Linked DNA regions of Neurospora crassa OR74A. The protein of the gene in region 1 purifies or fractionates together with the protein of each later gene. This does not show direct contact. Links are inferred from orthologs where the notes say so. Each region holds a gene or a part of one and is shown on either strand. Other genes may lie near its edges.

The links.
Region 2: the proteins of NCU06749 (region 1) and NCU04171 purify together in Saccharomyces cerevisiae (affinity purification with mass spectrometry, with the first as the bait; 3 studies listed by BioGRID). This does not show direct contact. The link is inferred for Neurospora crassa OR74A from reciprocal best matches to the Saccharomyces cerevisiae genes MRPL9 and MRPL7.

The regions. Positions count from the first base shown.
Region 1 is NC_026502.1:2,066,114-2,069,841, reverse strand, and holds NCU06749 (mitochondrial 54S ribosomal protein YmL9), read right to left. Parts: upstream 2,379-3,728; 5' UTR 2,036-2,378; coding exon 881-2,035; 3' UTR 671-880; downstream 1-670. Other genes in the region: NCU06748 (hypothetical protein), read left to right, coding at 5-486; NCU06750 (coiled-coil domain-containing protein 25), read left to right, coding at 2,733-2,805, 2,953-2,992, 3,135-3,238, 3,317-3,717. UniProt on the Saccharomyces cerevisiae protein: Component of the mitochondrial ribosome (mitoribosome), a dedicated translation machinery responsible for the synthesis of mitochondrial genome-encoded proteins, including at least some of the essential transmembrane subunits of the mitochondrial respiratory chain.
Region 2 is NC_026505.1:5,078,899-5,083,132, forward strand, and holds NCU04171 (mitochondrial 54S ribosomal protein YmL7/YmL5), read left to right. Parts: upstream 1-1,725; 5' UTR 1,726-2,000; coding exon 2,001-2,257; intron 2,258-2,393; coding exon 2,394-3,078; intron 3,079-3,281; coding exon 3,282-3,398; 3' UTR 3,399-3,730; downstream 3,731-4,234. Other genes in the region: NCU04170 (hypothetical protein), read left to right, coding at 1-1,333; NCU04172 (hsp70-like protein), read right to left, coding at 4,032-4,234.

The DNA.
Region 1 (3,728 bases):
ACAGATGTCCAAACCTCCCGCTTCCGCTGGTCCCGCACCTTCCCCATCTTCTTGGGCATCGTAGCCGCCACCTCGATCGCAATCTTCAACTACCAGAAACTCTCTTCCCCCGTGGTCGAGTCAACCCTCTATGCGCTGCGCACGAACCAGCGCGCGCGCGAGTACCTGGGTGACGAGATCTACTTCAAGGCGCAGATTCCGTGGATCTCGGGCGAGATGAACCAGCTGCACGGCCGCATCGACATCAAGTTCAATGTCAAGGGCACCAAGCGCACGGGCGTGATGCGCTTCGCCAGCTTCCGGCCCACGCCCCGAGGCATGTTCGAGACGACCGAGTGGAGTCTGGAGACGGAGGACGGCAAGGTCATTGACCTGCTGGAGGAGGGCGATCCGTTCAGAGCTATCAACGGCCGTGCGATGGAACCTGAGCTGGATGATGATGCAGAGGATGCGAAGGTCAGGGGTTTCAGGCAGATGCCCAAGTAATTGTTTTGGGGTGCTCTTAAGGAGGGAATAGTTTTGAAAAAAGGGAGGATATATATGGGAACCGGGGAAGGTGGTGGTCCCCCTCTCCCCCTCTCAAACAGGATGAGCTGAAGGACAGGATCGTGGTCTGGCTCTCTGATTGAATACCCGAAGGCTGTCAAGGAGGAATATGTGTAAGATATAGGGAGAGAACATACGAACCTATCACGGGCAAGGGTTGTATGTTCAAGTTGTTATACATTTTCGGTAGCTGTACATTTTAACACCCCACGATGCGTGTGTATCATACAAGAGAGAACTAAAAAAAATGAGAAACCGGGAAGGCTTTACCATACATTCCCTTCCATAAACCTAGTACAAACACATACTACAGACCAGAGACAGCCCCCCTCTCTTAAGCCGAAGCTTCTACCGCAGCATTTCCATCCGCCTTCTCTGTCAGCCCATTCTTGATGAGCGAATCTATCAGGCCCTGTCTCCTCGCCTCCTTGAGCTCCAAGTGCAACTTCCTCGCCGCCTGCAACTTCTCCTCCGCATCAGGGAACCGCTCGTTGAGGAGCTGCTTGGTGGCCTCGACAAACTCCTCCGGGGGAGGAGCCTTCTTGACAGCATCCTGAACCTTGACAACCGCACCCTTGTGACCAGCGACCGCGCCCTTGACCACCACGATGCCGAGCTCGTTGTCCACCATCAGAATGGGCAGGTTCTGGACCGTGTGCTGCTGCGCGCCCATGCGACCGGGCATCTTCTTGCCGGGCAACACACGCGAACCGGAGCCCTGCGAACCACCGACGGAACCAATGGTACGGTGGTTCAGCGAGTTACCGTGCGACGCCTCCTGACCGGCGAAGCCGTGACGCTTCATACCACCGGCAAAACCCATACCGCGCGTGATGCCGCGCACGTCCACCACCTGGCCGACGTGGAACCAGTCCGGAAACAGCTGGACGCCGACCGGCAACAAGCCGTCCTGGTTGCGCACCTTGAACTCGGCGAGCGTCTGCTTGGGCGGGATGCCCTTGGCCTCGTAGTAGCCGAGCTGCGGGGCGCCCACGTTTTCGGCGCGGCGCTCGCCCAGGCCAACCTGGACGGCCCAGTAGCCGTTCTTGGCGCGCGTCTTGTTGGCGACGACTTGGACCCGGTCGAGCTGCAGAACGGTGCAGGGGATGCGGGCGCCGGTGCGGCCCATGAAGACGGTCATGCCCTTCTTGACAGCGAGCACGCCGGTGCGCAGGGGTGTAGTCTTCTCGCGGCGCTTGAGGGCAGCGGCCGGGCCCGAGGTGGGCGCCGGAAGACCCTGCGTCACTTGGTTGAATCGTGTGGGCCTGCTGCGCTTCGGGAGCGTGCTCCAGCCGTACTTGACGCCGCGCTTTGTGATCTGAGGGAGGAGGGAGGGAAAGACAGTCGATGGCGAGGAGGCGGAGAAGGTGGGTGTGGTCCGGCCGGCGAGGAGGAGGGAGCTGGCGGCGGCGGTGGTTGTGGTGTGGGTGGCTGACCTCTCGACGAGGGAGAGCTGCCTCCAGCAGCGCGCGGGCAGCCGGGGCGCCATCGTGTATGTGTATAAGTCTGAGGGGAGGGTTGGGTGGTGTTGTGTTGCTTTTGGTGGGGTTGGTCGCAGTCAATTGGACCTGACGGTGTTCGTTGTATCGATGTCGGGGCCCCGGAGCGTCGAGTGGGGGGAATGGAAAGGACACCGGCTGTCTTCGAGACGCGAACCGGAGGGGGCGGAGTTGGGAGGTCGTTTCGGCGCGCGGCCGTTGAGGTGGTTTTGGGGCGGGTGCGGGAGTGGTGGTCGCCGGCTCGAAGCACGGAGCAGCAGAAATTTGATAGCCACTCAGAAATTCAGTAACGGGATGCTCCCCCCCCGATAACGTCGATCGGTTCGGCATCCGGGGATTCACAATTGACAGGGGAGGGGCGGCTATTCACAGGCGGGTACTATGTATTTGGCGGATTGTGGTGTACAGAGTGTGACATCTCTACAAGAAGGGTTAGGGTTAATTGCTTCTTTCTATTCACTTAGGTAGTTTTACTTCCGCTGGAGTGCGGGCGCATTTTACCGCATTGGATCCCCCAAACTCAACCGCTAAAACATCTTCACTCGAACCACCACCACACAGCCCCAGAGAAGAAATCGCGTTTTTGCATCTTGGTTTCCCTTCTTGCACGAAGTGTCTTTTTCATTGTCGCCGTTTTGAGATACCCAATATTCCCATCTTTCATTTCTTCCAAAGGCATCAGCAACCATGGTCTTCTATTTCACTTCGACCGTCGTCAGTCCCCCGGCTTTCATTTATGTGGGGAAAGACAAGTTTGAGAGTACGTGAAGATGATCATCAGCCACAATTGGTGGTATTCTGCATCTCCTTGTGGAATATGCATATATCTTGACACACTCATGGACATTGCATATTTGACTTGGATATAGATGTCAGCTCGTCACTCATCTAACATGCTATTTTATAGACGAGGAGTTGATCCAACACGGCTGGGAGGAGGATGTATGGTAAGTTTCACCCCGGCCAAGCCTAGTTCGGCATTTTCTAACTATTCTTCGTAGGGTATGACTCCCCATGAGGTTCTCGTCATATTATGCTCTGTTTCTCATTACTAGGCCCTACTTAGTTCCATGTCGACAAACTTTCCAGTGCTCATATCTACCTCCGTCTCCCAGAGGGTTGGACATGGGAGAACATTCCCGAGGAGCTCCTGACCGACCTTGGTCAGTTGACCAAGGCCAACTCCATCGAGGGTAAGTTGCTGCTTTTGAATTCTACTGTCAGGAAGTCATGGGGGAATTCGTGAGGACTAACTCTGTGCTTTTGTAAAGGTAACAAGAAGGACAACATCACAATCATCTATACCCCATGGGCCAATCTCAAGAAGGACGGCAGCATGGCGGTCGGCCAGGTCAGCTTCAAGGATCAGAAGAAGGTGAAGCGCATTTTGATCGCGCAGCGCGAAAATGCTATCGTCAACCGTCTGAACAAGACCAAGGTTGAGAAGCACCCGGACCTGCGAGAGGAGAAGGAGCAGCATCTCAAAGAGCTGCGCAAGAAGGATCAGGCGGCGGTGCTGGCGCGGAAGAAGGAGGAGGATCGCCTGAAGAAGGAGCGGGCCGAGAAGAAGTGGCAGAAGGATCATGCCTACGATGAGCTCTTTGCTGAGGAGAACATGATGAACTCGAGCAATCAGGATCGGGATGAGACCTGGGAGGATGATTTCATGTAAATTTGCTTGAG
Region 2 (4,234 bases), on another chromosome or scaffold:
CGCGAGTGTATCTTCTGGTTCTAACACAGGCGTCGCTCCCACAAACTCAGCGAGTGTCACTCCCACGAATAGTGCCAGCGTTGCTACTACGATTTCCGTAAGTGTCGCTCCCACTGCAAGTGATGCTCCTACTACGAGTATCACTCTCAGCGTCGCTCCAGGATCCAGCTCATCTACTACTGCTCCTGCGGTTGTCAGTACCACTCTCTCTGCACCTACTGTCACTTCAGTCCCTCCTGCCGCTGGCACAAGTACTACAACCGCTGCGGCTGTCACGAGTACAGATCCTGCTCCAGTCACCACTACCACCACTACCGCTACTAGTTCTACTACGAACACCACCCCAGTCTTGTTTACAACTAGTACAACTACTACAACCGCCGCCGCCGTTGCTACTACAGCCCCTACTCAAGCCACCACGACCATCGCCACTGCTGCCACTACTTCCACCACGAACATCGCCTCAGCCTCGCCTACAATTCCTGCTGTTGTGAACTGGGACTACCAAGGATGTGCCAGTGACTCCAACACCGCCGCGCCTACTGCTCGCGCGCTCAATGGCACCTACCTATACGACAGCGCCGGCATGACCATTCAAAAATGTCTTAACTACTGCGCCCAGCAAAACTACCCCCTCGCCGGCCTCGAGTTCCAATCCCAATGCTACTGTGGTCTCGAGTTCAAGCCCGGCTACAGCCTCGGCCAGACTGGCTGTAATCTCACCTGCGCCGGTGACCCATCAACACGCTGCGGTGGCCGCGCTCGTCTGGACGTCTTCAGACAAACTAACTACGTGACGCCCCGGCTCGTCAACCCGTCCGTGGTTAACGGGCGCTTGGCGACGCCACAGGGTTGCTTCATCGACAACTCAACGGCTCGTATTCTCAAAGCTCACTCGTACACCAACAGCACGAGCATGACGGTCGAGATGTGCCACGAACGCTGTCAGTCGAGGGGCTACAGTCTCTTTGGCGTGGAGTTCGGCAAGGAGTGTTACTGCGGCAATTCGCTCGCGGACACGGCGGTGGCGGCGTCAGAGCTGTATGAGTGCAAGAGGTCGTTCTGCGTCGGTGATAAGACGGAGTTCTGCGGTGCTGGCTCAAGGTTGTTGCTTTACAGTATTCAGCCGGCTGGGACTACTTCTCCTGCTAGGAGGAGTATAGAAAGGAGAAACGAGGGGATGGTGAAGGTGAAGTTACCCAATTTGGGCAAAGATGGGGAGTCTGATTATGAGTTGAAATGGGATGGTGATGGGGGTGTGGGACAAGTGAGAAGAAGCGGCTCTGGGCGGAAGAATATTGAGAGGCGATGGGGACGTAGTCTTGGACGGTGATGATGATACTTGGATGTTTTTTCTGTTTTCTCTTTCTTCCCCGTTACATACTTTGTTGTTATTGCTAGACATGCTGATAAGGTGTGCGCGGAATGATGTAATTATTAGTGGCTCGGAGGATACTTCGAGCAAAGGAAGCGTACGCATATACAAGTGTCTCCTAATCTAATCATACATGTCGTCTTAATGTGTTGGAATCCTGATCTGAATCGCTTATATTGGTACAAACATAGTGATATATTTCCAAATCCATGCTTTATTTAGAGTTCATCAACCACATCAGATGCATTCTCAGGGGTCCAGGAACGCTTTCAGGGGTAACAGACTCATATCCCTAACCCCAAACTCATCCAGCTTTGGCCCGTGCTGCCAAGCATTGGCCCCGGTTCGAGACTCCGCAGAGGCTCCAAAAAAAATTCCGGCGGGCGGCACAACGGGGACCGGCACCTCTTCGAGCCTCGACGCGGGACCAGGACCTTGCGCTTGCCGGAGAAGGAACCTCGCTGCCCTCTGCCCGTCCGTGACAGACCTTCGGCCCCGATTTCCCGCGTGCGCCGGACCCTCTTCCTCAACCACCACTCCGAAGCGACAACCTCCACGGTCGCCAATTCCGAAACCAGAGCGTCCGCCCGAACGCCGGTTTCTTTTTTCGGTATCCTAATTCACCATGGCCAGTCTCCGCGGGGTCTCGCGATCGGCTCGCGCTCTTCAGCCTTTCTCTGCTCAGTTCGCCGTCCGAAGATGCGCCTCGACACAAACTGGTGCCGGCGCTGCTGCCGCTACTCCCAAATCCAACATTCCCGACCTCGCCGAGCTTGAGACACGGTCGGCATTGGACGCTCCCATCCCCAGCGAAGAGGACAAGAAGGAGTTCAGGCCATGGAAGCGCGCGGCCGACAGGAAGGCGAGGTTGCCTAGCAGCAGGTGCGTTATACACTCTCCCTCCGTCCCGTGGTTTACATAGCTAGCCACACACATGTATATATACATACATATACGCAAACCATAAACAAGATGTTTAAACGTTGCTAACCACCATGCCTCACCTCCTACCGAACAGATACCAATACCACCCCCCCAAGTACAACCGCGGCCCCCTCCACCCCATCCAATCCCCTCCCTCCTCCGACCCTATCGCCCGCGACTTCGTTCCCGGCCCCTTCAACATGCCTCGTCTCAAGGAAACCTTCCGCACCGTCATGGCCTCGGACCTCATGACCCTGGCCTACATCCACACACCCCCGGGAACGCCCAAAAAGGAACCCACGGAGCGCTTGCGTGCCTGGGAGGGCGACTCGCCCTACTTCGCCAACCGTGCCCGCCGCGCGCCCCGCGGTGCCCCCGAGCTTCCCATTCGCGAGCGCGACATTTCGTTCCGCAACATCCCCGAGATCAAGGAAATCACCGTCTCCACCTTCGTGCCGCTCGGTCTCAAGAACCCGGACTTGTTGATTGTGGCCCGGGCGGTGCTGCTGGCCATGACGGGGACGATGCCGGAGATGACGAGGTCCAAGAACAACGTGGTGCAGTGGCAGCTGCAGGCGAACAAACCGGCTGGTTGCAAGACGACGATTTACGGAAACGCGGCGTGGGAGTTTATGGATCGGTTGATCCATTTGGTTCTCCCCCGGATCAAGGATTGGAAGGGCGTGCCGGCGAGTACGGGTGATGGAAGCGGTAATGTGCAGTTTGGTTTGAATCCGGAGGATGTTCAGCTTTTTCCCGAGGTGGAATGCAACTATGATGTGAGTTTGTTTCTTGGGAAATGATGGGTGGAAGAGAAAGAGAGGACGGAGGAGAACAAAAGTTTGGAGTTGGAGCCGGAGCCGAAGCTACAGTAGGGAGGGTTCTGGTTCCGGCTCTGGCTCCGGCTTTGGCCCTACCGTCTGCTTCGTCTTCTTGTTTTCTTGGACTTGACGACAGATTACTGACTTTCTATCCTCTCCAGATGTACCCCGCCAAGATGATTCCCGGTTGCCACATCGCCATCAAGACGACAGCCACCTCCGACAGGCAGGCTAAGCTTCTGCTCCAGTCCCTCGGCGTTCCTTTCTACAGCAACTAAGCGCCAAACGGGCTGTTGATCGTGAGAGGTTGAGAAAGGGACGAGATTCAAGGAAGGGGGATGAGAAGATGATGAACAACATCTCGCATCATGATAGTTGTTGGATGACAATTGAGGAGGATGAGGAGATGTGTGAAACTTGTACAATACGAATACACTAACCACATAAGGACGATGTATGTTGGGTGTATATATACCTTTTGTAACAACATCACGAGGAGGAGGCTTATAGACGAAGTGGAAAGGAAACGGAAGAAGAACAATACCACCGGGTCTGACGGTCAAAGATCAAAGAAGTAGAATCACAAATGCGTAAAACAATTGGAAGGGTGTCATCATTGCGTGAACTGGATTGTGTAAACGGACATCGTCAAGGGTATCTGCTTCATAAACAACTCCCAAGTCTAGAACCACATATCCATATCCCAGTCTAGCTTTGCACAGAACAGGTCAAGATATTATGACAACAGAACCCATTCGTCTTGATCAACCAAGGATCTCCAAACAAAAAAAACCAAACGCCTTTTCCAATGCCAAAACCAAAACCATATCTTTTCAGTCCCATTTTCCTTTCATTTGGTCATCCCCATCATGAACCCCAAACCCTCAACCTACTCATCCCCTTAGACAGCTCTAAGCAGACTTGGCCTTGTTTCTCAAAACGTCAATAACCTCATCCACTTTATCCATATCCGCCGCATCCACCTTGGTCCCGTTGTTCACCAAAACCTCATGACCGCGCTTATGCATCTCGTCCGCCGCGACATCCATAGCCGGCTGATAATTCCTCACCGCACTGCTAAGCGCATACGTAGCCTTGCGCCTCACCTTCTCCG